Elephas maximus indicus: one gene and its partners. The protein of the gene in region 2 purifies or fractionates together with the protein of the main gene of each other region. This does not show direct contact. Links are inferred from orthologs where the notes say so. Each region holds a gene or a part of one and is shown on either strand. Other genes may lie near its edges. The genes, in order: PRPF3, MEPCE, SNRPN and SNRPD3.

Evidence for each region.
Region 1: the proteins of MEPCE (region 2) and PRPF3 purify together in Homo sapiens (affinity purification with mass spectrometry; 4 studies listed by BioGRID and IntAct, counting the BioPlex papers as one, with this or other methods). This does not show direct contact. The link is inferred for Elephas maximus indicus from reciprocal best matches to the Homo sapiens genes MEPCE and PRPF3.
Region 3: the proteins of MEPCE (region 2) and SNRPN purify together in Homo sapiens (affinity purification with mass spectrometry; 3 studies listed by BioGRID and IntAct, counting the BioPlex papers as one, with this or other methods). This does not show direct contact. The link is inferred for Elephas maximus indicus from reciprocal best matches to the Homo sapiens genes MEPCE and SNRPN.
Region 4: the proteins of MEPCE (region 2) and SNRPD3 purify together in Homo sapiens (affinity purification with mass spectrometry; 3 studies listed by BioGRID and IntAct, with this or other methods). This does not show direct contact. The link is inferred for Elephas maximus indicus from reciprocal best matches to the Homo sapiens genes MEPCE and SNRPD3.

The regions. Positions count from the first base shown.
Region 1 is NC_064821.1:184,451,452-184,458,561, forward strand, and holds the start of PRPF3 (U4/U6 small nuclear ribonucleoprotein Prp3), read left to right. Parts: upstream 1-4,108; 5' UTR 4,109-4,214; intron 4,215-7,110. UniProt on the Homo sapiens protein: Plays a role in pre-mRNA splicing as component of the U4/U6-U5 tri-snRNP complex that is involved in spliceosome assembly, and as component of the precatalytic spliceosome (spliceosome B complex).
Region 2 is NC_064830.1:91,844,876-91,852,200, forward strand, and holds the start of MEPCE (7SK snRNA methylphosphate capping enzyme), read left to right. Parts: upstream 1-4,303; 5' UTR 4,304-5,402; coding exon 5,403-7,100; intron 7,101-7,325. UniProt on the Homo sapiens protein: S-adenosyl-L-methionine-dependent methyltransferase that adds a methylphosphate cap at the 5'-end of 7SK snRNA (7SK RNA), leading to stabilize it.
Region 3 is NC_064831.1:99,699,301-99,706,134, forward strand, and holds the start of SNRPN (small nuclear ribonucleoprotein-associated protein N), read left to right. Parts: upstream 1-3,825; 5' UTR 3,826-3,914; coding exon 3,915-3,917; intron 3,918-4,762; coding exon 4,763-4,914; intron 4,915-6,292; coding exon 6,293-6,404; intron 6,405-6,827; coding exon 6,828-6,834.
Region 4 is NC_064840.1:23,012,581-23,019,928, reverse strand, and holds the start of SNRPD3 (small nuclear ribonucleoprotein Sm D3), read left to right. Parts: upstream 1-4,341; 5' UTR 4,342-4,468; intron 4,469-5,988; 5' UTR 5,989-6,006; coding exon 6,007-6,132; intron 6,133-7,348. Other genes in the region: protein GUCD1, read right to left, coding at 4,014-4,224. UniProt on the Homo sapiens protein: Plays a role in pre-mRNA splicing as a core component of the spliceosomal U1, U2, U4 and U5 small nuclear ribonucleoproteins (snRNPs), the building blocks of the spliceosome.

The DNA of each region.
Region 1 (7,110 bases), on a different chromosome or scaffold from region 2:
TAGCATAGTGGTTAAGTGCTATGGCTGCTAACCAAGAGGTCAGCAGTTCGAATCCACCAGGTGCTCCTTGGAAACTCTATCAGGCAGCTCTACTCTGTCCTATAGGGTCGCTATGAGTCAGAATCGACTCAACAGTAGTGGGTTTTGGTTTATATACTAACAGAAGCCCTGGTGGTGCAGTGGTTAAGAGCTTGGCTGCTAACCAAAAGGTCAGCAGTTTGAATCCACCAGCTGCTTCTTGGAAACCCTATGGGGCAGTTGTAGCCTGTCCTACAGGGTCCTATAGGAATGATGTGTTAATGTAGGTAATTGAAAAGAAAATGTTGGAGCGTGCACTATGTGCAGCTACCCTACATACATAATCTTTTGCTTAGTAAAAAAAAAAAAAAATCTGGATTTGTAATTATGTTGTTCAACATAAACCCTTGTTTTTCCTGTAAAAGGGGATAATGGTATTTACAGGCTTGTGAGGGTTAAATGAAATAATACATGTCAAGACTTAAAACAGTATCTGGCACATAGTAAGAACTCAAATGTTAGCAATTAATAATAATCCCCCAGTTGTGCCAGCCAGAAAGTAGATCCTTGTTTCCTCCTCTTCACCTAGTCATCAAACCAAACTCATTGCCATTGAGTTGATTCCAAATCATAGCAACCCAATAGGACAGAATAGAACTGCCCCACAGGGTTTCCAAGGAGCAGCTGGATTCAAACTACCAACCTTTTGGTTAGCAACCAAGCTCTTAACTACTGCACCACCAGGGCTCCCAGTCATCACCAACACCAGTTTATTTGTAATCTCTTCCAGCTGTCTCTGTAACTTTGTACCACAACTCTAATACTAGCTACCATCATAACTTTCCTGGATTACTACAGTCATTTGACTGGTCTCGGTGCCTCAGTGTTGCCTGGCTCCAGTCCATTCATAGTTTAGCCAGAATGATTATTCTAAAATGCAACCCTGATCTTGTCACTTTCCTGCTTAAGCTGGTAATTGGTTCCGCATGGCTTTCAAGATAAAATCCAGACTGTGGCATTTAAGGTTCCTCATCACTGAATCATACTTTTTCTGTAGCCATTTGCCCCATCAGACATACTTCTGGATCACAGCACATGCTATTTTCTCCTCTTCTGTTCTTCAGCTCTCAAACTGGGTATTCTCTGAGATGCCTTCCCTGGTACCTTTATCAGGTGCTGTTTTCCCTTTTGCATCTCGAGTTTATTTCTGTAATATATATGGGTCTGCCTTTATACCACTGTATTTCCTTTGCCTGGTATAATGCCCAGCATTTAGATCCTCAATAAATATTTCTTGAATATATGACAATTGCAGTTATCTATTGAGGCTTACCATGTGCCAGGCACTGTACTAAATGTTTCATGATACCTTTAATCCTCACAATACCCTTTGGGAAAAGAGATGATTATTCTTATTCTATAGTTAAGGAAACAGCCTCAGAAAATAATTGCCTCAACGAATCACAGCTAGTAACTGGGAAACAAAGGATTTAAATCTATCTGATTCCAAAAATTGGAAGTGAGTTCCTAGAAAAAAATTTCCCTGTGGGACTTCAACCCAGACTGTTAAAAACACTGAAACAAAATTAAAAATGTATAACTACTGGGCAAAGTTGGAACTCATTGGCCCATTTAACAGACTTTTTGAGTGGGTATTATGAGTGAGACATTGGTTTTAGGTGCTGTAGATACAATGAGGATGCTGGTGTGACTAAGTTGAGCAACATGTTCAAGCTCTCCCAGCTTGTTACTCAAAGCCAGGCTGCCCCATCAGGGAAGGTTAGTTTTGGTATTTCTCACTTTTAAAAACCAGCCTATAGATATGAAGATTTCATGCCCTGTGGGAAATTCTGATCATAACCTTCCTAGAGAATAACTGCAATTTCTGGTGAGCCTACCATCCAAGAAGGCATCATGGACTTTTAATTTCTATAGTTTGAATCTGGAAATAGATTGTTATTTTCATTTCTCATATGTGAGATTGTGTCATAATACTAGACACACTTTTTCAAACTACACTTTTCCCACACGTGCTTTTAGAGTCATTGGTTTAAAGGGTCAGTAGGTTTAGAGCCTCATTTGGAAGAAGGGGAAGAATACAAGCTTATTGACAGAATGAAGAGAGCAGTACTGCCAGGTCTTATTTATTGACTACTTACAAGGTCTGGCACTATCATAGATCCTGGGACTCAAAAGACATGGTACAATTCCCGTCCTGAAGGAAATTCCATCCTTTAGGCAAAAAATAGACCAGTAGGTGCTGGGGCCTATAAGACCAAGTGTTGAAAAAGATTTGGCCTTTGATTTTAAATAAACCAAGAAAGCCCAAACCCACTGCTATTGACTTGATTTTTGACTCATGTTGACTCCCATGTGTTACAGAGTAGAACTGCTCCATAGGGTTTTCTTGGTTGTAATCTTTATGGAAGCAGATTGCCAGGCCAGTCTTCCTTGGTGCTGCTAGGTGGGTTTGAACAGCCAACCTCTAGGTTAGTAGTTGAGAGCAAACCGTTTCCATCACCCAGGGATCCTCTAATTCAAACATTAAGTATTTAATTGTGCCAGGTGGTGTTGCAGGCACTTAGGCTGTATCAGTGAAGAAAACAAAGATCCCTGTCCTCGTGGAGTTTACATTTGAGTACCCCTAAATGGGGGGAGTGATGATAAACTCAGTTTATTATCGTCATGCTGAGTTTGAGATGTTTATTATACATTTGGAGCCCTGGTGGCACAGTGGTTAAGAGCTACGGCTACTAACCAAAAGTTTGGCAGTTCAAATCCACCAGCCTCTCCTTGGAAACCCGATGAGACAGTTCTGCCCTGCCTTGTAGGGTTGCTATGAGTCAGAATCAAATGACGGCAATGGCTTTCTTTTTCTTTTTAATACATTTACGTGTTGTTGCTATTAGCTGATGTTGAGTTGGCCCCCAACTTATGATGACACCGCGCACAACGGAATTAAACCCTTCCCGGTGGTGCGCCGTCCCACGGTCAGATAGTTGTGATCCATAGAGCTTTCACTGACTGACTTTTGGAGATAGGTACCCAGGCTTTCCTTCCTAGCCTGTCTTGTCTGGAAGCTCCACTGAACCCTGTTCAGCATCTAGTGACATGCAAGCCTCCAATAACAGACCGGTGGTGACTGTGCATGAGGTGCATTGGCCAAGATTTGAACCCAGGAATTCTACCACTGAACCACTATCGCTCTCTATGCTTACAGAGGCAATTGGAAATCTATAGAAAGAGACATTAGCCAATTGCGTACTACCAGCGAATGATACTCGTTTTGTTAATGAAAGGCATGGAGGGGGGCTACTTCTTCAGAGTCCTCTACTCATCTTTTTTCATGTACATATGTTTGTAGCTACCATTTATTGAACTCTGTGAGAACCACTGTTTTAAGTGTATTACCCTCATTTACTCATTTGTGAGGTGAAATTCTTTTTTTAAAGGTATCCCATTTTATAGGTGAGGAAATAGAGGACTTAAGTAACTAATATCATACAGCTAATGAGTGGGAGAGCTGGAATACAAATCCAGGCAGTCTGCCCTTAGAGCCCGTGCTCCTAAATCATTGATTTACTGACTCTCAGAGGGTGCCGGCACCACTTACAGTAATAGGCGGTCAACGAATGTTCTGTTAATTAATTAATTAAACAAAGGGCTACATTCTGCCGAGTCCTTCTATACTCGTGTTTCTTCCCTGTGATCTCTGGCACGACTGTAAATTAGGAGGAAAAGCTAAGGACGGGTAGCGAATGCCAGTGATCCCAACTTACTCAGAGGGTTTACCTTCTACCGGAAAGGCCGTGTTTGAGCCAAACGCAGAAGTCCCTCTTTCAGTTAACTTTAGCTTAGCGCACTTACACTCCACACGAAGAAAACTGCTAGCAGTCCCATTTCCGCTTCAGGGAACTAACTTCTTCTCAATAATCTAGTGAACAGATAAATATCCGAATCCTTTAGCAAGGGAAACCGAAGGCGAGGAACTGGCACTCGCCACGCATGCGCCCTGCCGCCGGCAAAGTGGCAACTACGGCTGCGCATATCGGCGGCCCGGCCCACCCTCGTCACATGTCGGGGACCGCGGCGTGGCGGCGGCCGTGGCGGTAGCGACGGCAAGTCGTGCGGCGGCCGGAGGGTTTCCGGTTCCGGTGTAACGTTCGGGCTCCGTCTCAGGGACTGAAGTTTGTGAGGTGAGTAGTGGCCCCGGGCCCAGACAGAGTATTCTCCGGTCCGAGCGACTGGGGTCAGGGCTCAGCCCAAGAGTAGGACCGGGTTAGGGGGCTCAGCGGGAAAGAGGCTGAGAGAAGCACAGGTTGTGTGGGAGACGAGGTTGCAGTGGGATTGTTGAGAGGCAAAGGGCGGGGGCGAGAAGGGGACGGGGTGGGGAGACCAGCTCTGAGCTGAAGACTTTGGGTATAACTAGGTGTGATAGTGGGTCGGTTGGAGTTTACGCCAAAAGAGGTGGGGAAAGACTAAAAACAGAAGAATGAGGATTTCAGGGGAAACTCCGATTGTAGCAAAGAAGAGGACAGAGTAAGGAATTCCTTCAGAAGATTGGAATCTGCTACCTGCTCATGCTGGAATCATTCTTCCTTCTTCCTTCCACACCCCAAACCCTACCCCCACACACGTAGTTAATGTATATTTGTCTAGTGGTAAAGCCAGGTACTCTTTGAAATTTTTATTTTTGTCTACTAGCTGTTTCGTTTGCACATCATTTTATGGAGGATTGGGTTGAACTTGAATACATTTGTTATTATAGTGCTTGGCCGTGCGTTTCTTCTAATAATAACGGTACCTCACTTACTGCTTGGAGCTTTCAAATTGCTTCTGCTTTCTAGCCTATGATTCAGTTGTAGTGGAACGTAAGCTCCGTTAAGGTGAAAATTCTTACGTGTTTTGTTCACTGCTGTATGCTCAGTGCCCAGTACACTGCTTGGCACTTAGAAGTTGCTCAGGAAATATCTATTGAATGAATTAAGTATGATGGAAATATGGCAATTGTCTTTATTTTGTAAGATGAGTGAACTAATGCTCAGAGGAATTAACTAATTTGCCCACGTGCTAATGGACTGGTAAATGTGGGGTTTGGCATCCCAGCTGTTCAGTTTCTTTCTGTCCTGCTGAGCTTTTTTCTTCACTCTCACACCCAAAGATATGTACCCTTTGTGATACCTTGGTATGCCTCCAATCTTTTTTTTTTTTTTAATGGACAATTAATATGTAGATGAAGGAGCCCTGGTGACACAAAGGTTAAGCACCTGGCTAACTGGAAGGTTGGCAGTTCCAACCCCCCCCCCCCCCCCCGCCGCCCAGTGGCTCCTTGGGAGAAAGACCTGGAGGTCTGCTTCTGTAAAGATTATAGCCTAGAAAACCCTATGGGGCTGTTCTCTGTCACATGAGTCAAAATCGACTGGAGGGCACCTAACAACAACAACGTGTAGATGTTGATAGGCTATACTGCTATCTCATTGTGAGAGAATAGAGCCACCATGGAATTATTCATTTAACTTGTTACTGAAACACATACTCTGCTTTTATACAACCTTTCTCTCTTAGTTTCATGACTGTAATCTACTAACTTATTTTGGTTATACCAGTTCACTGTTTGGCTAGAGATCTTATAGAAGGTAAATCTACCAAGGATGCAGAAGTTATTCAGACTGTATCTTTTAAGAGAAAAGACATCTTAAAACATCTTGAACGTCCAGGTCAGACCCTGATGCGTGGTGCTGCTGGGAGGAGGTTAGCTTGGAAATTGAGGTCAGTGTAGTATATTCACTGTTTTCTAAGCGCAATGGGAAGAATCAGAAATAAAATTTTGTCTATGTTCATGAGGAGTTTTGAGATTAGGTAGAAGACCGAAATGTAAACATGAATGATGGTTTAAAAATAAACTAACTTACATTAATAAGTTAAAGATTTGTTGTGGAGAGCTGCAACAACTCCGACTCTACGAACTTTATTATAAATGGGGCAAGGTGGGCAAACCTTACTCATGACCAGCTACTTCAGACGACACTTCCTCTCTCTGACTCTGACCACTCAGGCTTAGATCAGACCCCGTCCCCAGCCACCCTGAGCCAGTCAAAACATCCCTGGACACCTAAGGCCAGGTCACAGAGGACCAGCCGTAGGCTCAGGAGTCTGCACAGTTCCCTGCACTTCAGACCAGTATGCCTCCCTCTTTCTCTGTCTAGTCCACTGGGACTAGGTCACAAGCTAGAAGAGCTCTACTCTTTTTCATCAATTGCCCATGCAGCCTTTCCATGAATACCAGCCACCCAAAGCTGGGACTACACAGACTGACTCCTTGCCCCTGTGGGTTTATTAATTCTGTATAACAACTCACAAAGTTCACAGAGACTATCACCTATACTTACAGTTACCCATTTATTAGAACCAGAAAGGATACAAGCAAAGAGACACATCAGTAAAGGTCTGGGAAGGGTCCTGGCGCAGGGCCTATATAGTCCCCAGGGACATGTCACCTTCTCCAGTTCATGGACATTCTCACCAATCTGGGAGACTCCAAAGAGTGCACTCCAAGGTCCTGGGTCCCCTAGTCCCAGGGGGACTCAATGAATATGCATGGGTCTTAATATAGTCCCCAGGGACATGTCACCTTCTCCAGTTCATGGACATTCTCACCAATCTGGGAGACTCCAAAGAGTGCACTCCAAGGTCCTGGGTCCCCTAGTCCCAGGGGGACTCAATGAATATGCATGGGTCTTAATGCATAGTTGTGATCATCTAATCAGTTAATATGCATCACTGCATCAGTGCCTCCTCCCTTCCTGAAGTTAGTTTGCCAGGTGTGAAGCTTGCCAGGCTGTTTTGGAAAACAAAGGCATCTTGATTACTCGGGTGATTTTCAGAAACAAAGTGCCAAACCAAGTTTTTTTTTGTCCTGCAAGAGTCCTTTATGATAGTGTTTTCTCTGCTGAGCTAAAAAGTAGAATAGAGATGAAAAAGAGAGTACACCCAGAATGAGAGTATTTGTTTCTTAGCTGAGGGATTACTCTGATCAAGTCAGCTGTCAGAGACCGGGTAGAACATGAGAGAGAATTGTCTGGTGCAGAATTC
Region 2 (7,325 bases):
ATCTTTGGCATTTTATAACATACATACATTACCACTTCAAAAAATGACTTTTTAAATTTTAAATTCTTTAAGTAAAATAAAAAAAGAGTATTTTAATCAACCTAAAATGCAAAACTTTCCAATATTTAGGCTCAAAATCTTATCTAATCCTGTACAGACCTATCTAGGCTAAAGTGTGCTTCTGGAGCCCCAACGAACTAGATAAAATTATGGATCGTTGTTGAATTAATAAGATGTAGTAAATCTATAAGAAGTGATGTATAATTAAAAAAATAATAACAAGTTGCCCTTGAGGACATCCAATTTCTTAGATTTAGAAAATCTATAGAGGGTTGGCTGTACAGAGACTACAGGCAGATTTATTTTATCAGCTAGTTTGCTGTTTTTATTTCATCTCTATTCTCTCTCTAATCCTTCTTCTCACTGTACAAGAAATGTTAATGGCATTTCAGTTTCTTTTGGTCATCTGTTAGATTCCATGTGACCTCACTCCCATGTGGCCTTACCTGATCAGATGGGGTGTCTACACCTGACCCAAGGGCAACTCATTGAAAACATGAGTACAACTAATTAGAGTACTTTGTTGGGAATTTAGAATTTGCAAAATTGAATACTAGAGTTATTATTGTTGGGAACTCCAGGCAACAGGTGAAGAGCAGTGTGGTCAAGTAGATCATGCAGGGTCAGAAGAGATGGAGCCATACATGCACGTGTAAGTGAACAGGCAGAAAGACAAACTGCAAAGGAGAATGGAGCATGCGGGAAGAGAGGATGAGAGACAGAAGAGGGACAGAATGAGAGGAAATAAGAGTGAATGTACACTTTTGGCTCCCAGTCCCTGGTCTCTGCTCTCTTGAGGTCAACTACACTTCAGTCTCTTTCTTTTGGTCTCTGTGAGATTCTTCTGAATCCTTGCAATAAACATTTTGTTTCTTATACCGAAAAAAAAAAAAAAAGTTGTCCTTGAGTTGATTCTAACTCACAGCGACCCCATGTGTATCAGAGTAGAACTGTGTTCCATAGGGTTTCCAATGGCTGGTTTTCCAGAAGTAATTGCCAGGCCTTTCTTCCAAGGCACCTCGGGGTGGATTCAAATTTCCAACTTTTTGGTTAGCAGCTTACTGCATTAACCATTTGCACTACCCCTTAATCTAGATTGGGGGTATGATGAAGAACATTACTTTTAAAGAAAAGCTCTAACCTGATCCAAAGAGAATGGAAAGCCAGAGAGTCACTTTCTGACACTGTTCCTCTGTTTCAGACGAATTCTTCCACAATAACAAATATTAAAAGCTAATAGAGAGAGAGAGAAAAAATAGACAGTTGACAAATATACAAAATGACTGTAGGCACTAGACTCCGGAATAACATTTGAGGTTTTAATTTGTTTTCTCACCTTAGATGAAAAGGTAAGGAAACAAAAAAATTCAACAAGGCTTTATGTAAGAAAGTAAAAGAACCAGGATAGTTCCATAAACACAATCTCACCCACTCGACATATAAAAGAGGGTGAATAAGCAGAGGGAAAGAACTTACAAAGAAATAATAAAAGAAGGGTGAATGAGGCTCTCCAAAAACTAGAAACAGCTTTCTTTCACTTAGAACACTAAAAATTATCACATTCATTTCTAAATGAAATCACCTAGCGTGGCGGTTCTCAAAGTACGGTCCAAAGACCCCTGGGAGACTCCTCCCTTTTCCAGTTATATATCTGTGTTAGGTTGGATTTTCTCATATACTTCAACCAAAACAAGATGTCAGGTTGAATACGGAAACATGAGAATCCAGCTGTCTTCTAATAAGGCAGACACAAAAGAGATTTGCAAAAATATAAAACAATGCCATTCTTCAAACTAAATTTTCTTTTGTTTTGGAAAATGTATTTTTCATTAAAAATGTTAATTATGGTAACATGTAATGGGTTTACGGAGCCCTGGTGGTGCAGTGGTTACAACCCCAGGCAGCTAACCAAAAGGCCAGCAGTTCGAATCCAGCAGTTGCTCCTTGGAAACCCTATGGGGCAGCACTACTCTGTCCTATAGGGTCGCTATGAGTCAGAATCAACTCGATAGCAACAGGTTTGGTTCCTTTTTGGTTAATGGGCTTATGATTGTTATTTTTAAATTAATTATTAAGTAAATATTTTTAAATTTTCTATTTTAATTTCTAGTATTTCAATACGAATAGTTATAAACCATATAAACAAAAGCTTTCTGGAGTCCTCCACAATTTTTAGGAGGACAAAAAGGTTCTGAGACCAAAAAGTTTGAGAATTGCTCTAGCTAAATAATTCAGTCTTGCAACATTTCTCAAAAAACTTTAATCCTCCTCTACCCCATTTAGAATGTGCTCAAAATTTACAAACAATAAAACTGTTCCCTCCTTATATTATGTCTGGAATCCTGGGTCTAAAAGAACAAAGGTAAACCTTAGAGTTGTCCTCTAACACACACTCCAGAGCCTAAAAGACATTAAAAAAAAAAAAAAGAAAAGCCTATATTTAAAGCTTCTTTAAGCCTGAGTCTAATTTTCTTCAGCCTGTATGTCTAATGGCATGTGTACTCCTGCTTATTTTCATGCCTGGATAACTAGTACTGGTTTTTATCTCTTTTTGTGCTCAACAGGCATGATCTGAAACAAAACTTTTTAACAAGAAAGAAAAAGAAACAATAAAGATTCCAGCTACCCTTACTGACCATTATACATGTAACAAGGTATTTACTGTCGCATCTAATAGTACCTGCCTGAACTAAACTTTGTACAGAATCTTATAAAGAAATTAATGGTGAACTAAAACCTCCTGATTCAGAGAGTGCAAGAGAGCACAGACATGGCCACTTACCATGGCCACTTATCACCAAAAGAATCTTTCGGGGACTGCTGATATCTTTTATATTCTTCCTACCACAGACGCACACATTTCCCAAACTGGTACCGACCTCAAACTAGCATTGTTGTACTTAAAGGAGCACATCCCCGTAAAACTCCCAGATCCCCACACCATTGCCCCTCAGAGGGTGTCAAGGTTTGGAACCGAAAATGCCTAATTCCCCCTTGAGAAACCAAAGACAAGAACTTTGAAGGATCTGTATTTTTGCTCTCTCGCCTCACCAATTTCTCTCAGGGACAGCAATGAAGACCTGACATATCGCACAGTTAAATATCCTTAACTCTCCTCAGAAAGTACTGTATAGTGGCTTTCTAGCCTCTCTTCCACATCAAGAATCCTACCAGGAGGGAATTTCTCCTCAGCTAACCCTACTGCTGAGGTATCAGGATTCTTATTCCCGCTCAGATCGTCGTTGCCCCCCATTACACTGTGGCATTTTTGTTTGTGTTGAGGGTGAGGTTCAAGTTAGATTCTAAAGCGGAGGGGTAAGAGCTGGTTGTCGCCCTGAAGAGACAGCTTCTCCTCAGACAACAGGTACTGGGATCGCCCGCGCCTAGCAACTGCATCTGCAACCTAAGAAGAGTCTAATACCTTCTAGAGCGAGGAGCACCTAAAAGCAAGCAGTAGAGTGAGCACCTGCAGCGATTATGCAAGCCCCTACAACCTGGATCCAGTTTTCCCGCCACGAAGAAAAGGCGCGAGGACGCGCACAAGCTCCACCCCCCCAGCGGCGTGCTCACGAGGCCGAAGCGCATGCGCAGCTGAAAACGGCTTCTGCGCTTGCGCGCGAATTATTGCCGCCATTTTCCAATCTGTAAAACTACAAGTCCCATAATGCTCACTGCTTCACCCGTGTTTTAGGAGGCGGTAGCAGCGCCTGATTGTTCCTGAAACACTTCTTTCTTCTATTATCTTTCCTTCCCACTCTGCCTTGTCCTTCTTCTTTGCTTTTCCTGATGCCTATTCTTCCTGTTAGGCCCCTTCACGACCTTATTTTAACACTTTCAGCCTATCCTTAGCCCCACTCTCCGCCTCTTCTCAGCCATAAGACCTGCATCCCCAAGCACTCTGTTGGGAAAGAAAACGGGCCACCTATCACCCTGTGGAAAGAGCGTCAAATAACTTTCCCTCATTGGCCGAGACAAGGGGCCCCAAAGCAGGCCGATTCCTCTTCTCCGCCCACACACGTTTTTATATAAGGCGGCGCGAAGCCGCAGCGTGCGTTTGGGAAGGACTGCGTGCGAGGTGGTGTTGGTGGGTGTACTGCTATTGGTGGGTGTACTGCTATTGGTGGGTGTACTGCTATTGGTGGCTGTGGTGGGCGTCGGGCTGGTGGGCTCGTGCGCAGGCGTCGGATGGCGGGCGGGGGCGTTGGTGTCCGGACTGTGGGTGTGGAGGCGGAGAGGAGGGCGGGGTGTACCTAGGTGATCGCGATTGGGGGAACGCGGAGGAGCGAGAACCACTCAGCCATTTCGGCACAGGAGGAAGTTGGAAAACCTTGGCTTTTTTAGTGTTGTTTTTCAGTCCAGCAGAGAGTATTTTCGGGGGAGGGGGGTGAGTTAAAATGATCTATTGCATATTACTGAGAACAGTTCGTAGGAAGGCGATCAGTACACTCCGATCCTTCCCTTCCTCTACCTTTAGGTTCACTCCTCGGCTCCCTCTGAAGCCCTAAGGGGATGGGCTAAGGGGGCAATTCGTTATGAATAATTCATGAGCCCGCCCCTTTTCTTAAGAAGCCACGCCTTTCCGAGCTGCGCTGACGCACGTTGCGTGTCCCAAACCTGAGGAAGCGACGTAACAGTCCCCGCCCATAGGACGGAGGGCGGGGTGTCGTCTCCAGCACGTGCTGCTTCTACCCGCGCAAGCCCAAAAGGGTGTGCGCAGGCGCTTCTCACTAGGGGAGGAAGGAGGCGGGGTGGGGAGGTTGTTGGGTTGAGCGCCGGGCGGAGACCGCTGAGACTCATTCCTCAGGAACAAGGGTCGTGTGTGAAGGAGACCTTTTCACACCAGCTCCCCGGCCCCCGCCTACGGTGGGTGGGATCGCGCGGCAGAGACAAAGGATATCAGTAGGGACGGACATAGCCACGAAGGGAAGTAGGGTGTCAGCTTGGGGCGGTGGGTTTTTGGGGGGCTAAGGGAGAGACTATATTTAAACTCCCTGGAGCCGTTAAGTTGGTTCGTACTCCGATGCGCGCGCAACCAGGGTGGTGGCGGTGTGCGCATGCGTGATTCTGGGGCCAGGGGAACGCGCTTAAGTAGTGCGCGCTCGCGATTAGGTGGTAGTGGTGGAGGAGAAAGGGGTCGGCGCAAGCGCGGTTGGTTTCTCGAGTTCGGGTCTCGCGGGCTTCTTGTTTTGGTCTCGCGGGCGAGCAGGGAGCGAGACTAGGCGAGAAGAGCAGAGCTGCGTGCGCACTCGGGAAAGGGGGGAAGGGAGCAGGGTCTAGGAAGGGGGGTGAAGCCCCCTGATCCCCCCTCGTTACCCTCGGCTGGGACGGAGTAAGGGGAGGAAATGATCGAGATGGCAGCGGAGAAGGAGCCGTTTCTGGTGCCGGCCCCGCCGCCGCCGCTCAAAGATGAGTCGAGCGGAGGGGGCGGCCCCACGGTGCAATCGCACCGAGAGGCCGCCTCCGGGCACCTCCGCGGCCGGACAGAACGCGGGCCGGGCCCCCGCGTACAGTCGGCGGGGGCCCCGGCTTTAGGGGTTGGCAGGGAGAGCCCCGGAGCTGCATCCGCCCCTCGAGCGGGCCAGTCGCAGCAGCAGCAGCAGCGAGGGGGCGGCCCCCAGGCACAGTCTCACGGGGAGGCCCGCTTGTCGGATCCCCACGGGCGGACCGCTCACTTGGACGTGGGGGAGGAGCGACGGGGAGGGGGCGGGCCAGAGCTGTGTACCCCTGCCCCTCCTCGGCCTCGTAATGGCTACCAGCCCCACAGGCCCCCTGGGGGGGGTGGAGGCAAGAGAAGAAATAGTTGTAATGTGGGGGGAGGTGGCGGAGGCTTCAAACATCCGGCCTTCAAGAGGCGCAGGCGAGTTAATTCGGACTGTGACTCTGTGTTACCCTCCAACTTCCTACTGGGGGGCAATATCTTTGATCCACTGAACCTGAATAGTCTTCTGGATGAGGAAGTGAGCCGCGCACTCAATGCAGAGACCCCTAAGTCATCCCCACTTCCGGCCAAGGGGCGTGATCCAGTGGAGATCCTCATCCCCAAAGATATTACTGACCCCCTCAGTCTCAATACTTGCACTGATGAGGCCCAAGTAGTTCTTGCCTCACCACTCAAGACTGGTCGGAAGCGGCATAGACACCGGGGACAGCACCATCAGCAGCAGCAGGCATCTGGAGGAAATGATAGCCACTCCTCCGTGCTTCCCCCAGCCCCCCTCACTCCTTCACTTCATGGGGAGGGCGCCACGCAGCAGCAGCAGCAGCAGCAGCAGCAGCAGCAACGGCATAGAGGCCAGAGCCGGGATGCCCCGCAGCCCTATGAACTCAACACAGCCATCAACTGCAGGGATGAGGTGGTGTCTCCCCTTCCAACTGCCCTACAGGGTTCCACAGGCTCCCTTTCAGTCCCTCCAGCTGCCTCAGTTACCCCTGCACCCCCGTCTTCCTCCTCTCGACATCGCAAACGTCGCAGGACTTCCAGCAAGTCGGAGGCAGGGGCCAGGGGTGGAGGCCAGGGTCCCAAAGAAAAGGGCCGAGGGAGTGGGGGAGGCCGCTACCACCACCACCCTCTCCCTGCAGCAGGCTTCAAAAAGCAACAGCGCAAGTTCCAGTATGGGAATTATTGCAAATACTATGGGTACCGCAATCCTTCCTGTGAGGATGGTCGCCTTCGGGTGTTGAAGCCTGAGTGGTTTCGGGGCCGGGACGTCCTAGATCTGGGCTGCAATGTGGGCCATCTGACCCTGAGCATTGCCTGCAAGTGGGGCCCATCACGCATGGTGGGCCTGGATATCGATGCTCGGCTGATCCACTCTGCCCGCCAGAACATCCGACACTACCTATCTGAGGAGCTGCGTCTCCCACCCCAGACTCCCGAGGGGGACCCAGGGGCAGAGGGTGGGGAAGGGACCACCACCATCCGGAAGAGAAGCTGCTTCCCAGCCTCGCTGACAGCCAGCCGAGGTCCCATTGCTGCACCCCAAGTGCCCCTGGATGGAGCGGACACATCAGTCTTCCCCAACAATGTTGTCTTCGTCACGGTAAGAGGGTCTTAAGTGCATTAACTCCTCACTAGGAGAACCAGATCCTCGAGAAGGGTCTGAATTAGCGAGTGAGTGCCTCCACTGGGTGTCTCTCCCTGCCTGTAACCTGGGAGAGGTGGGGTCTCTAACCTGGGGTCCTTTCTCCTGACTGCAGTTCTCTTTCCCAAGACAGTGGTTGACTCGTTTTGCCCTGCTTCCAGCCTGGGCTATGTCCAGCCTTCG
Region 3 (6,834 bases), on a different chromosome or scaffold from region 2:
TGAGTATTCCATTCAGTGAGGTCCACATGTATTGTCACCATTTTTGTTGTTGAATAAAGGTATTTGCAATGAATAATTCATTCTTGTAAAAGTGTATCATGAGATCTCTGTCACCGAGGCCAGTTCTCCAACTACCAGTACTTCTTTGTTTTCAACTTTTTCAGTTACAATCACTAGTAATTATCAGTGCATCTTTATTACGTGTTTGATCAATTTCAGACAGCAGAAGATAGAAAACCAATCATAATTCTTCAGAAACTCAATGCAAAAAGGCTGAGTTCAGCTCCAGAGGCTATTTACCTGGAGTGACAATGTCAGGACCCCAGAAAAATGGAACAGCACAAAGATACCCCTGTGGCACAGAGGTCTGATTTGGTGATGTCCCAGGAGATTACAAAAGGTGATGCCTCCGAGCCTGTTCGGGTGCTGTTTTATGTCTAAGCGTAGTAAACACTTACTCTGTTGAAGAAAGGAGATTTATTGGTGGTTCATTAACAGTCTGGCCTGGATAAAACGTCTGATTTTACAGAGTGAACAAATACTTCCAAAACAGTGAAGCTGCAGAGAACTTTTAAAGGATGAGAACAAAGAACTTGAGGTGCACTATTTTGATTGGACATTACAAACTTAGATTAACGCAAGGTGGGTTTACTGAAAGTGGGGGCTGTGGAGGTTTACAGGTCCTTTTTCTACTAGAAACACCTGGCTTAAGTGAAATTTTTCTTGTCAGTAGTTGCCTAGGAGACCCAGAAGAGAGTCAGCATCAAGGTCTTCTTCCTGAGACATTGTTTCAGGAAGGGTCTTGATAAACCCATTGCTGTCGAGTAGATTCCAACTCATAGTGACCCTATAAGGCAGAGTAGAACTGCTCCATACGGTTTCCAAGGAATGCCTGGTAGATTCAAACTGCTGGCCTTCTGGTTAGCAGCTGTAGCTCTTAACCACTACACCACCAGGGTTTCCTAACCACAGAGAAAAGGGGGAAAAGAAAAAGGTTTCTTTAGTTTACATTTAGTTATAGGCCTTAAAGAATAAGTTAGGGGTTTGCATATCTTAAAGGCAAGATGGAGTAGGACCCTGAACGCTAAAGCAGCCATTTTACTTTAGTCAAGTGCCTCAGTTTACTTTTTCTTACTCAATAAAACCCACTGCCGTCGAGTCGATTCCGACTCATAGTGACCCTATAGGACAGAGTAGAACTGCCCGATAGAGTTTCCAAGGAGCACCTGGTGGATTCGAACTACCGACCTCTTGGTTAGCAGCCATAGCAGTTAACCACTACGCCACCAGGGTTTCCTCTTACTCAATAAAAACCTTAAAGGTTTCTGTGGTTACTTTTTTTTTTTGTCTTTCAAATTTAGTCTTAGAAAAGCTATATCCAGCTCTACTGGTTTCTTTCAATAACTTTTCTGTGGCACGCTGGTAGTATGTCTCCATTGTTGGCGGCAAGGGAGCGTGGTCAAGGAATAGTGTCTCGGTGGTTGTGCTGATTTTTTTCCCCCATCAGTGGCATATGAAAGTAATAGTTTGAACTTTGTACATTATTTTAAGTTATTGACCTTATTGAACCCTTTAAAACATTTTGATACATAGCTTTCAATACCATAAAATTACCAACTGTTTGTATGATATTATTGTGATAAAATATATATAACAAAATTTGCTATTTTAATCATTATTAAATATATGTCAGTGACATAAATTTTATTCACCATGTTGTGCAGCCATCACCACTATCCATAAAATGTTTTGCCTCACTCCAAACAGAAACTCAGTACCGCTTAAGCAATAATGCCCCAATCCTCCCTCACTCATACTTCTGGTAATCATTGATAAACTTTTGTCTCTGCTTTTGCCTATTCTAGATATTTCACAGAAGTATGTATAAATCTAGACTTGTTAGCTAATTTACATCTTTGGGCACCAATTGCCACAGGGTAATTTTAGACTATTTCCATCACTTCATTAAGATCCATCATGCCTATTTTCAGCCATTCCCCATTTCCACCCCCAGCACCAGACAACCACTCATCTATTACTTTGTCTCTAGGTTTGCTCAGGGTCCCAGGACTTAATAGATACAGGGTTATAAAAATGAAGAATTAAAAAAAAAACGTGCTGTATTTAAGAAGAAAAGGAGGATTGAGTTTTATATATAGGTGGTGGTGTTTGGACTCTGCATTATAAAGAATTTTAAGGCAATATTCAGAACAAAGATGTTGTAGGCTTTAAACGAGTTTGCGTCAGATACTGCATTTGAGGGTCCTCAGGCTGCTGATTAGTATACTCGTTTAAGTATAAGGTTCATGTAAAACGTTAATTCATACAAATATTGGATTCTTCCTGGGTGCTAGGCATTGAAGTGTCTGGAAGGACATAATTCTTACACTCTTGAGAATATAAGCCTGGTTGATTGGAGAAGAGGTGTGTATAGAGATTAGTCAGACCATGCGTTAAGATATGGACAGATCATCTTGCAGGAAATGTTCCAAAAAGAAGCAACATCAGGAATTTGTTTAGGCAATCCGAGTTGTCATAAAAATTTATTTAATAGATGTAAAATTTTGGAAATGAGAAGGAAAGCATCTTTCCTGCATCTCATCACCATTAGTGAACTTTTACTTTGATACTACATTCTCTTCTGTTCTGTTACCATATAGCTCCACGTGACAGTGTCCTCAAAGCATTATTTCTCTGTATTGTTTTGATGTTTCTGTAGTTTGTAACCACACTTTAATTAATTTTAACTTGTATATGTAACCAGTTTCTTTTTTCTTTATTGTGGCAAAATAAAACAGCTGTCATTTCAGTCCTGTTCACATGTACAATTCATGACATAGATAACCAGCTTACTTTTTCTTGATTTTAGTATTTCTGTATTGAAAACAATGAAGGTATAATATTATTGGAAATGGTTGCCTTGTTAAAAGTAGTTATATCAGATTTTGTTTCTAATGCTGTGCTTCTTTTATGCATAAACCTAAACTTCTGTTAAAAAGTATGTCTATGGTTTTTTTTTTTAATAAGTCACAGCTTGAGGCTTTGTTATAACCAGTTCAGCCTAGATTTCGTAGCCGTATATGGAAGGCGCATTTTTAGAGTAACAGGGAAAAGGATAGCTTATTGTTAAAGTGTGTGTTTCTTTGGTGACTATGGAAGTTGCCGTATTCCGATATATCGACAATTAGTTGTTTGCACCCTTTTGACGTAGGAAGTCTGAAGCAGGTATGTAGTAATAAACCTGGCTCTTGGTAAATAAAGATTAGCTAACATCATTTTGATGGAGCTGTAGGGAGTGAGGGAACATTTCAATTGAGAACATTTAAGTGAGTTATTAGGTGGTATGGCCAAAAAACAAAACAAAACAAAACAACCAACCAACCAACCGTGAATGTTTGAACTAACTTAGGGGTAGTTGGGATGGAGAAACTTGATTATCAAGATGTTGATGTAGAGGTGACTCGGTATTAATTTTAGACCAGAGAAAAAAATGAATCAGTAGCTTAAATAAGGATGGAAAGAGAAAATAGTAAATTTTGGGAGTGGATAATGAAGCTGATTTTTGGCACATTTCTAGGCAAAATAAAATTAAATGAGTTTTGTCAAATGTGATAGTTAATATGAGGGAATAGTGAATTTTTTCTTGGTGGTTGTGGGAACATGGGAGTAGGAATATTTTTGAATATGTCTTTTGTGGTTTTCATGCAAAATTATCTGCCTGTTGTAAACATGGTAGATGGTGGTGCAGCTTGAACATGCTCTCCTCCGCAGGCTCCGTCTGCTGTTTGAAGCTTCTTCCCAGCTGGCATTGTTTATAGGAGAACCACGTCATACCTTTATCTGTAGCCTTCCCCTAGGTCTTAAGGTTCCAGAAACTTTACTGTGAGGACATTGGATTTGGTGGAACAGCAATCATGGTAAGATGAAGATTAGGAGAGAGGGGTGGTAAACTGCTCTAAGGGTTTGCCAGAGTGTGGGTTGATTTTGGGTTCTGAATGTTAAAAATCAGAAGTTTGTAGAAATGGATTCTCACTGAATTAGGGTAGTGGCTGAAGATAAGTAATGTGTGATGTTCATGTTGTAGTAGTGAAAAGGATTGCAAACCATTTTGCTGTGAGAAAATACAGAAGAGTTTTTGGTTGTGATTATAATTGTAAGAGACCATTTGAAGGTAGACTGTTAGGTCAGATTACAGTATATGTAACATCTACTTTGAAAATGGAGAAATTTGGGGCTCAGTTAGTATAGATGAAAGCAGTCTGGAGAAAGATACAGTATCCTAACCTTATTAGTACCTGTTGGTGTAGAGTTGATTCCGACTCACAGCAACCCTATAAGGACAGAGTACAACTGCCCTCATAGAGTTTCCAAGGAGTGGCTGGTGGATTTGAACTGCCAACCTTGTGTTTAGCAGCCAAGCTCTTAACCACTACTCTACCCTATTAATAGTAAAAACAGAAGCAAAAAACAAAACTTGGAGAGGAGAGAAAAGAGATAGGGTCAAGTGTCTGTGAGAGGGTGAAGTTTGGCCATGATTTGGGAAAGGAATGGGATTAGAATGATGGAGCTATAGAGGGGAACTGGATTCAAATGTAGACTATTGTCTTGAGTAGGTGTGAAGGAAATTGGGGAAAGGTGGAGGGATTTGGTCAGCGAAAGAAGTCAGTTTCAGGTTGGTATAGGAGTGGGAAAGAAACCCAAGTGGCATAGAAAAATAGGCTGTGAACAAGCTGATTATTGACTCTCATTTTACTCCTTGCAGACCGTGGGCAAGAGCAGTAAGATGCTGCAGCACATTGACTATAGAATGAGATGTATCCTGCAAGATGGCCGAATCTTCATTGGCACCTTTAAGGCCTTTGACAAGCATATGAACTTAATCCTTTGTGATTGTGATGAGTTCAGGAAGATCAAGTAAGAAAGACCTGTTTGGGTAAAGAATATGCAGGTAGAGGCAGTGGGAAGCCAAGGCTAGAGCAGGAGTAAGGGATTATAGAGGGTAGTTGAAGGAGGTAGGGAAAAAGTTTCTAACCCTTCGGTGTCATCTTCAAATAGCTGTAGAGGCTCCCAGTCTCAAAGTTTTTATCGCCATAGAACTATTTCTAATTTGCAAAAAGACTTTCCAAGGAGCGCCTGGCGGATTCGAACTGCTGACCTTTTGGTTAGCAGCTGTAGCACTTAACCACTACACCACCAGGGTTTCCTGGGTTTTAAAATAATGAGGAAAAGTGATGTTTGACTCCTTGTGCTTGTTGAGGACAGTTCTTCTCAGTTAAATTTGAATGAACAGAATTCATGACATTTTCATTGTCGTCCCCCTTTCATTTATTTCCAGTCTCCTTCCTGTACCAAGGCCGATCATTCCAGAAGTGCTAGGATGGTGGATGCCTCAGTTTTATTTTTACTTTTTTTGTTTAAACCACCTTTATACTAAAAAGCATTAAAAAACCCTTATGATATTGATAAATAACAAAGAAGGTATTTGAGAGCTTCGGGCATATTCTCAGTTTCTGTTTTTCATTCCTTTCTGACCAAGTCGTGGGAGTAATTATACCTAGTTAATGCTTCAGCTTGCATTATTCTCTGGTAATACCTAATGGGATTTATTAAATGGCATTGTAATTGTAATGGTTCCTTTTACCTACACAAAAAAAAAAAACAATGCGGTTTAAACCCCATACATGTATGCAGTAGACATTAATCTGATTTTTCCTGCTTACATTTGAAGAAACTAGGATAGGAATTTAATTTTCCAAAGTTACACAGTAAATGGTAAGCTCAGGAATACACAGGTGTCTCTGATTCCAAGTACTTCCTTACCATTTTGTATGCCCTCTTTTGCCTATTACTGTCTTATTCATTATTTCAGTTCCATGATATGTCAATAAGATTTACCTAGTTAAAAAAATGATTTAGAAATTATTGCCCATCTTAAAATTATATAGAGTTAGGTTTCAGTTTTGACTGTTTTAAAAGGCTTACTGTGTCATTGCATTTATTTTACAATGAAGAAATTAGTTTTGCTGAAGTGTAATATCTAGAGAACATTCTTTAAAGGGCTGAAGCTTAATAGAAGAGCTTCAGCACTCACCTTGCTGTACCTAGTATTTGCATATCAGCTGAGTCTAGGTGTTAATTTTATCACAGCTCAGTGACTGTCTTATGTTTAAATAAGATTCTTGGCATCAGTTATTGTCTTAATTTTTACTTTGTGATACACATGTAAGTTATGTAAAATAATTTGAGCTAGAGATACTAACTTACTTCACGAAAATTTGCTTCTGATTTGTAGGCCAAAGAATGCAAAGCAGCCAGAGCGTGAAGAAAAGCGGGTTTTGGGTCTGGTGTTGCTGCGTGGGGAGAACTTGGTTTCCATGACTGTGGAGGGGCCACCCCCCAAAGATGTAAGATGTAGGGTAGGATGGAACTTTCATGTGGAAGAGCATTGCTTTATTGGAGATGAGAGAGGCACAGTACAGCACATCTTCGTCAATTAAAACGTGCTTAGCACTTGATGTCAGTTCTTTGTATTTAGAGATTAGGGTTTTATGATAAATTATTCTTCGCACCGTGTAGTACCTAGATAAGCATAGCAGTTGCTTATTTACTTTCTCATTTTATGGTCATAAACATACATGTTTTGACAAATATAATGTACGTTCTAGGCATCTGCAAGATGTCTCCAAGGTGCACTTGCCCATTTTTTCCTTTGAGTAAAGAACCAAAATGAGATAGGTGGAATGGGAACAGGGTGAAGTTAATCAGTGTACGAGTGAGAGATTACGACAATTGAGAATTTGGTTTCAAGTTGTAAACTTTTGTTTCAGACTGGCA
Region 4 (7,348 bases), on a different chromosome or scaffold from region 2:
ACTGGCCTGCAGCAGGGCATGGAGGCCAAACTGCCACACACCGCCCCCTTGCTGAGCCGCCTGACCTGCCTACTCTGTGAAACGGCCACCACAGACCCCAGCCCATAGAGTGCTGTGAGCACCCAGGCAGGAATATGTGTAAAGCCCTTTACGGGTGCTGCCCTGACCCTACCCCCAGCTAGGGCCTGGTGCGTTGAGCCCATGGGCTTTTCAGTGACTGATTTTTCAGAAGTCGATTACCAGCCCTTCTGAGGCACCTCTGGGTGGATTCGAACCTCCAACCTTTTGGTTAGCAGTGAAGTGCATATACTGATTGCACCCCAGCAGCTCCACGTCTACCCCAGGTGCCTTTGAAAGGAGCCCAGGCCTCTGCCTGAGGTTCTCACATGCTTGCCTCCTTCTCCTTCCACGGATTTAGTCCTGCCTGATTCCTGCCTGTCCTTCACCCCAAATTCCTCCCCCAGCCCCAACTCTGTCTCCACACACAGCTGCCTGGGGAATCCCATGCAGTTTCCCAATGCTCTTAGAGTCCTCTCCTCTTCCTGTGGCCCTGCCCACCCAGGCCCCACCAGCCTCATTCACCCTGCTGCAGTTACTCTGTGAACCCATCAAGCTTCATCCTGCCCAGGGTCTTTGCACATGCAGGGTGCCCTAGCCTAGAACTCTCTTCCCCCGGCTGTTCTCAAGGCTGCTACTGCTTGTCATCAGGTCCCAGTTCAAAGTCTCCTCTGAGCAGCTTTTCCTGACTATACCTTTTGAGGGCAAAGGGGGGACCCTCCTTCATAGCATCCTCTTTGTTTCACATGGTACTTATCAAACGAAACTAAAAAAAAAAAAAAAACTATTATCTGTCTCCCCACTAGACTGTATGGTTGCTGAGGGAAAATACCTCACCTCATCTTGTTCACTGTTATTCCCAGTACCTGGCATCCGATGCTTAAGATCCCTGGGTGGCGGAAATGGTTTGTGCTATCCTGCTAGCAGAAAAGTTGGTGGTTTGAACCCACCCAGCAGTACTGTAGAAGAAAGACCTGGCAATCTGCTTCGGTGAAGATTAAAAATCCAAAACCAAGCCCACTGCCGTTGAGTTGATTCCGACTCATAGCAACTCTGTAGGACAGAGTAAGAACTGCCCCATAGAGTTTCCAAGGAGCACCTGGTGGATTCGAACTGCCAACATTTTAGTCAGCAGCCGTAGCACTTAACCACTACACCACCAGGGTTCCCTGGTGTAGATTACAGCCACGAAAATTCTATGGAGTGGTTCTACTCTGTGACACATGGGGTTGCCATTAACGACAGTAACAGTACCTGATGCTTAGGAGTAACTCAATATCTGTTGGAAGAAATGAACTTATTAAGCACTCGCTGTGTGTCAGGCTCTGGGGACACACGGGTGATTAAGACTAAGCCCTGCCTCTGAAGACTCATATTCTAAAATAAGTATGCCCCACATGGGCTGAGGGGAGGGTGCAAGCTCTATATAGGGTGCTGTACAATCATGGAGGAAGGAAGGTGCCTCCCTTCTCAAGCACCCCTCGCTGTGGCCACACACCACCTGTTTTTCTCTGCACAGGCTGTTTATGCCTAGCCTTTGCACTCAAGGGTGCCTTAGTCTGCACCGTTCCTCCCATCTTTGAACATCTGGATACTCTGATTCCGATCCCCTCCAGGCCTCAGTGTAGAGTACCTGAGGTCACACCCACCTTCGCCAGCCAACAGCCTGAGAACACCTCAGTGGCAGGCAGGGAACCTCTGCCCCGAACAGGTGTTCAGACATACTTGGGGAAAACCAAAACCAAACCAAACCCACTGTCATCGAGTCAATTCTGACTCATAGCGACCCTATAGAACAGAGTAGAACTGCCCCATACAGTTTCCAAGGAGCACCTGGCAGATTCGAACTGCTGACCTGTTGGTTAGGAGCCGTAGCACTTAACCACTACACCACCAGGGTTCTCCATACTTGGGGAAGAGAAGGCATTTTCCTGAGATGCCTGGGGCTGCTTGTCACTGCAATGATTTCCTGCCCCCAGGCTTCCAGACCACTGCCCTCTGCTTAAGGCTGCCTCCCTACTTTGGTTGGCACCAGCTCTGGCCACACCAGCTAGGCCATCTGTGGCCAGACCTCCCCTGTGGCCATGCTTGGCAGCATTCTCTAGGGCCCTGGGAGTCTTAGCTACCCCTCCTCCTCATGCCCTGAGCTCCAGAACCCTTGATCCTGAGGCCCCAAAGGGCCAAAACCCCAGGTGGCTGTCCCCAGCCTTGGCCCAGGCAGGCCACTCTATAGAAAGCTGGAGGTGATTTTCTGCGTGTGGTGGGTGGAAGGATGATAAGGGCAGGCAAGACCTTGGTTTTTGTCCTGATAACAGCTTCAGCCCTTCAAGCCCACAGCCACTACCAGATGTTAATACATGGCACCAAGGAACACCCCAAGAGCTGGGCCTGCTTGGAGGGCCCTGGCATCAGCTGGCAGCTGTCATCAGAGAAGGGAGGGCGCTCAGTGGCCCTGGGTGCTCACCACCTCTCAGCCTCAGTCTGCTCATCTGTAAAACTGGGAATAACAGCAGCAGTAGCCTCCTTCATGAGGTCATCATGAGGATTAACGAGGTACTGCACATACACCACTCAGCACAGTTCCCACCTCATAGGAAACCCCCTATAAATATGAGCCGGGACTCGCTCAGGCTCAGGAAAGGCAATGTCCTGCCCAAGAGCGTAGCTGAGCTAACTGGAGAGCAGGGCCTACACTCTGCGGCAGCATCAGACCCCTGCTCCACCCTGCAATAACAAAGGCGACCCCTCCCTCGTGTGAGGACACCATCCATGACAGCTCAGGGCCAGTCCCATATGCTTTGGCCTCTCCCTGAGTTGGCACCTCTTCTCAGCAGAGCAGGAACCACCGCACTCCCCCACTATCCCCTTCTCAGACAAGCAAACTCAGGCCGCGGCACTGCCCCACCAGTAGTGGCCTCTGCTTCCCCAAAAGGCCCCCTTAGGGCAGAAGGAACCAAGGGTGAAGACATGTAGCAAGAAAAGAGCTGACCACAGTCTGAGAAGGGGAAGAGAAGGGGCGCACTCGCTCTGTGCTCCCGCCCAGTCCCCTGCCCTTCTCTGAGCCTCAGCGTCCTCCACAGTTCCCCGAGGGGACACATCTTCCACGCGTCTCCGGCTGGACTTCCCGCTTCTAGGCAAGGTGGCGCCCCGCCTCACAGCCGGGACCGGCCCCACCCCGCCCCACGGCCGGGCGACAGGGGCCTCAGCTCCGGGAGGACAATGAAACCCCGACTGGCAAGTGGGGCTGGGGCGGGGTGTCCAGCTGGCCCCGTCCCGTCCGAACTCCAGAGCGCTGCCCAGGCGGCAGTCCGCCCAAGGTCGCGCGGCCGGACCCTCGTCCCCCGGGGCCAGGGTTAGGCCCTGGGGAGGCACTGACCGGGTTCGAGCGGCGGTCCCGCTGCCTCCGCCTCCGTCCTCATGACCCGGGCGGCGCGGGGCGCCCATGGCCCCGACCTGGCGCAGGCTACCGCTCGGGCTGGGGCGGGAGCGCGGCGGCGGCGCGTCTGGTCCGCGGAGGGGACAGAAGGCGACGGTCCGCGGCCCCGAGCCCCGCCCCAGCCCTGCCTGGCAGCGGCCCCGGACGCCCCGCCCCCACCTGGGCCCCGGCTTGGAGGCCCAGTCCCTTCCGTTCCCCAGCCGCCTGATCGAAGCCTGCCCCGGCCATTCGCTGTCTCGCCTTCTCTTGACCCCGCCCCTTTCCCTAGCCCTTGCGCCGACGCACAGGCCCGTCCCCGCGGATCCCCGGAAGCCCCACCCCTTTCTTGGAGCCCCGCCCCGAAGGCTGGCGCTCTCCCTTAAGTCAGGCTCCGCCCCTGTGGGCCTCCCTCAGGTATAATCCCTGGCCTGCCCCTTGTTCCGCCGGGTCTCCAGGAGACCCAACCCTACTCCGACTACTCTATACCTCAGTTTCCCTGTCCATATAATGGATACCTCGCCTCGCTCGGGGCGCTCCTTACCGGGCGGTGCCGGGTTCCAACGGCTAACTTGCGAGGGCAGGTCCTGGCGCTTAGTCCCACAGCCTGCCGCCCCCGATCCGAGAGCCCAGGCCCCGCATCTCCGCCTTGCCGTCCAACTCGGCCTTGGTGTGGGGTGCCTGGAAGCGCGAGCTCCCCTTTCCCCTTGCCGGCCCGAGTATCGGTGTTTCCGGCGGCACCCAGGCCCTGTCATCAGCACGCTTTTTCGGGGCCGGAACTATAGTGCCACAGCCCGCGTTTCCCATCCGGTTGGGTGAGGAGGCAGCCGAGGCGAGACAGCGCCCACCACCGGAGAAAGGAAGGGGGCTGGCCTCGCGCGCGGCATTCTGGGAACGCGGGGTCTTCTGGGAGCGCGGGACCGCCATTCGCTCGCTCACGCTTTCGGTGCTGCTGAAGTCGCTTGTCCACGGAAGAAGTGGAAGAGGAGGCCGCAGCCGGTGAGGAGAGGCCGGGGACGGGTGACGGGAGGCCGAGGCTCCCGTGAGGGGCCGGGGCTGGGGAAGGACGCGCTGCCTTGAAGTTCTGCGGGCCCCTGGGAGGGAGGAGAGGGAGAAGCCCGGGGCAGTAGCGTCACCTCACTCGCGCCTGGAAGTGGGTTTATTGGCTCCTTCCAAAACTACATATTTATCCTTTTTGTACACCTCTCCATGTCATTGTTTTTTTTTTTCAGTATCCAGAAAATAATACTGGAATCGTTTCTGAGTGATTACCTCCTTTACCCCAAATCTTGTTTGGAGCTTCCTTTTCAAGGTTTTTTCACTTCGGATCATCTCCTGCTTTCCACGCTGTTGCAGAAGTTTTAAATGCTGCTACGTGTTCATTGGGTCATTTCTTCGCATGATTCTGCAGTGGTTCTCTCTGTCTTCAGCATAAAATCCAAACCCCTAAAGCTAGAACTCAGGGATTCTCACCAAAGGAAACCAACTTTTCCAACTTCATGGTCCCTTTCCGGGGTAGCGTTGAGTCTCCTGGAATCCCTTTCTGTTCTAGTCTTCAGCCTTTGTTCATTGCAGATTAAAAATGTTTGATGCTTTTTTCTTTTAATAGGTCCAGTCAGGTGCTTGCCCTGGTTGGCTTTTTTCTATAAGATAAACCTTTTTGCTTATAGCATGTCACTTTGTGAACTCTTCGATATTTTCTTTTTAGCTTCAGTGGTGATGTAAATGGGGTGCCATGGGACACTAAATAGATTGACTTAAAAGCATAACTTCCTCCTAAATTTGTTGGTGGATCTTTTGGTCTGCGTTGTCCACTGTGGTAACCACTAGGCACCTGTGGCGTTTTGAGCACTTGAAGTATTGCTAATGTGACTGAGGAACTGAAATTTTAGTCGTATTTCATCTTTTTAAAGTTCTAAGTAGCTACATGTGGACTGTGGCCACTGTATTGGGCAGCTTGGGTCTGTATCGTAGGTTCTCAAAGTGCAGTCGCCCACAGCAGTGAGTTGGCAGGTACGTTTGTACAGTACATGCATTCACTCCCCTCCCTCCTGTAATATTGGCTAATGGTCATTTGGAGAAGATAAAGCGATCTGGTAGTGAGGAGGGAGACGGGAGGCACTCTCTTCATTCCCCTTAGCCTTTTCTGCCCAGCCCCACTTTTCACCCTACCCCTCATCTTGCACTGTTTGCCAGATAGTTTTTTCCAAAGGAGCTAAACACCTTTTTCAATAGCTCAGGAAATACAGCTAAGTTTTATGGAGTGCCAGACCCTGGTGGTGTAGTGGTTAAGTGCTACGGCTGCTAACCAAAGGGTTGGCAGTTTGAACCTGCCAGACGCTCCTTGGAAACCCTATGGGGCAGTTCTACTCTGTTCTGTAGGGTCGCTATGAGTCGGAATCGACTCGATGGCACTGGGTTTGGTGTTTTTGGTTTTTAGGCCCTGAAGGAGGCATGTGCATGCTATATGCCTGTTCTGGTTCTGAAAGATGAACTAACTGTTGTCTCTCTCACTGCAGAGTTTTCTTCCTGCCAAGATGTCTATTGGTGTGCCGATTAAGGTTCTGCATGAGGCTGAGGGCCACATTGTGACATGTGAGACGAACACCGGTGAGGTATATCGGGGGAAGCTCATCGAGGCAGAGGACAACATGAACTGCCAGGTACCTTGCTTTGCATATGAGACTGAAGGGGATAATGTGAGCCTGTGTTGGAGGACAAAACTGTGGTGACTAGAGCGCCTTCTTGAAGTTGGTCTCTTTCAACAGTTATTACTGAGTGCCTTATGAGTACCAGGCCCTCTTACAGGTACTCAGGATGTGGACATGAGCAAGAGACTTACTGTCTCGAGGCAGAAATGGTGTTTGGAAATTTGGAATATTTACTTGTCCTTTGTTTTCTCCATTCCATAATCATTTTCTCCCATATTTTGGGGGCTTTTTGAGATAAATGACACTATTCCTTTCAGGTTCAAGGCCATTATTAAGGCATGACATGTTACAGTTAGTAGCATCTCCTACTCACATGCTGTATTTACTTGCCATCTTCTTGGAGAAGGGGTCCCATTTGATTATTGCATCAGTTATTGTGAGGTAGGCAGGTTTGGTAATAGTTTTGTCATCTATGAAAATAGGATTCGTCTACTAAATGTCACTCCATTAGTATATGATGGCATAGCCTCCTGATCTGGTTCAATTCCCATGACACAATTTGCCCTTTTTCTCATAATCGTGATATTAGAGTCATTTTACGAAGTATAAAACAGCCGGTTAAGAGCATGGACTTTGAAATCAAAGAAATATGGGTTTGAATCCTAATTGTATAACCTCAGGTATATTAATTACCTCAGTTTCTTCATCTGTAAAACAGGGGTGATGTTATTTCGGGCCATCTGAGGCACAGACACCAAGGTACAATTAGATATGCAAGAGATTTATTGGAGGAAGTGACAGGAGAAAAGAGAGGAAGCAGGAGTGGGCAAGAGAGCCACAGTCTGTCGTGCAGGCCTAACACTGGTGAAAGAATAGAGGGAAGAAAGGATCGAGTAGGAAGAGCCTGGGGCTACATTGTAGCTCTGAGGATGATTCATAGCCAAGCATAGATGACTCATTTGAGGAGTCTGGCATGGGACAGAAATGGCCTGGCTCTCGTACCCCTGCCGTAGGAGCAGTCTGGGGAGAGTAGCCTTGGGGTTTATGCAGTGGTGGGTCTCAAAGGTGTGACACCCAGAGGCCATCAGCTCCGTGCACTCCTCACAGCCTGTTCTCCCTCAAAGAGAGATCTGAGCATCTCAGGGCTGTCACAAGAATAAGCCTGAGCCCATGGCCTGTTGTCAGGACCCGATGAGCTGTGTGTGCGGCAGCTGGTGTGCTGCCTCTC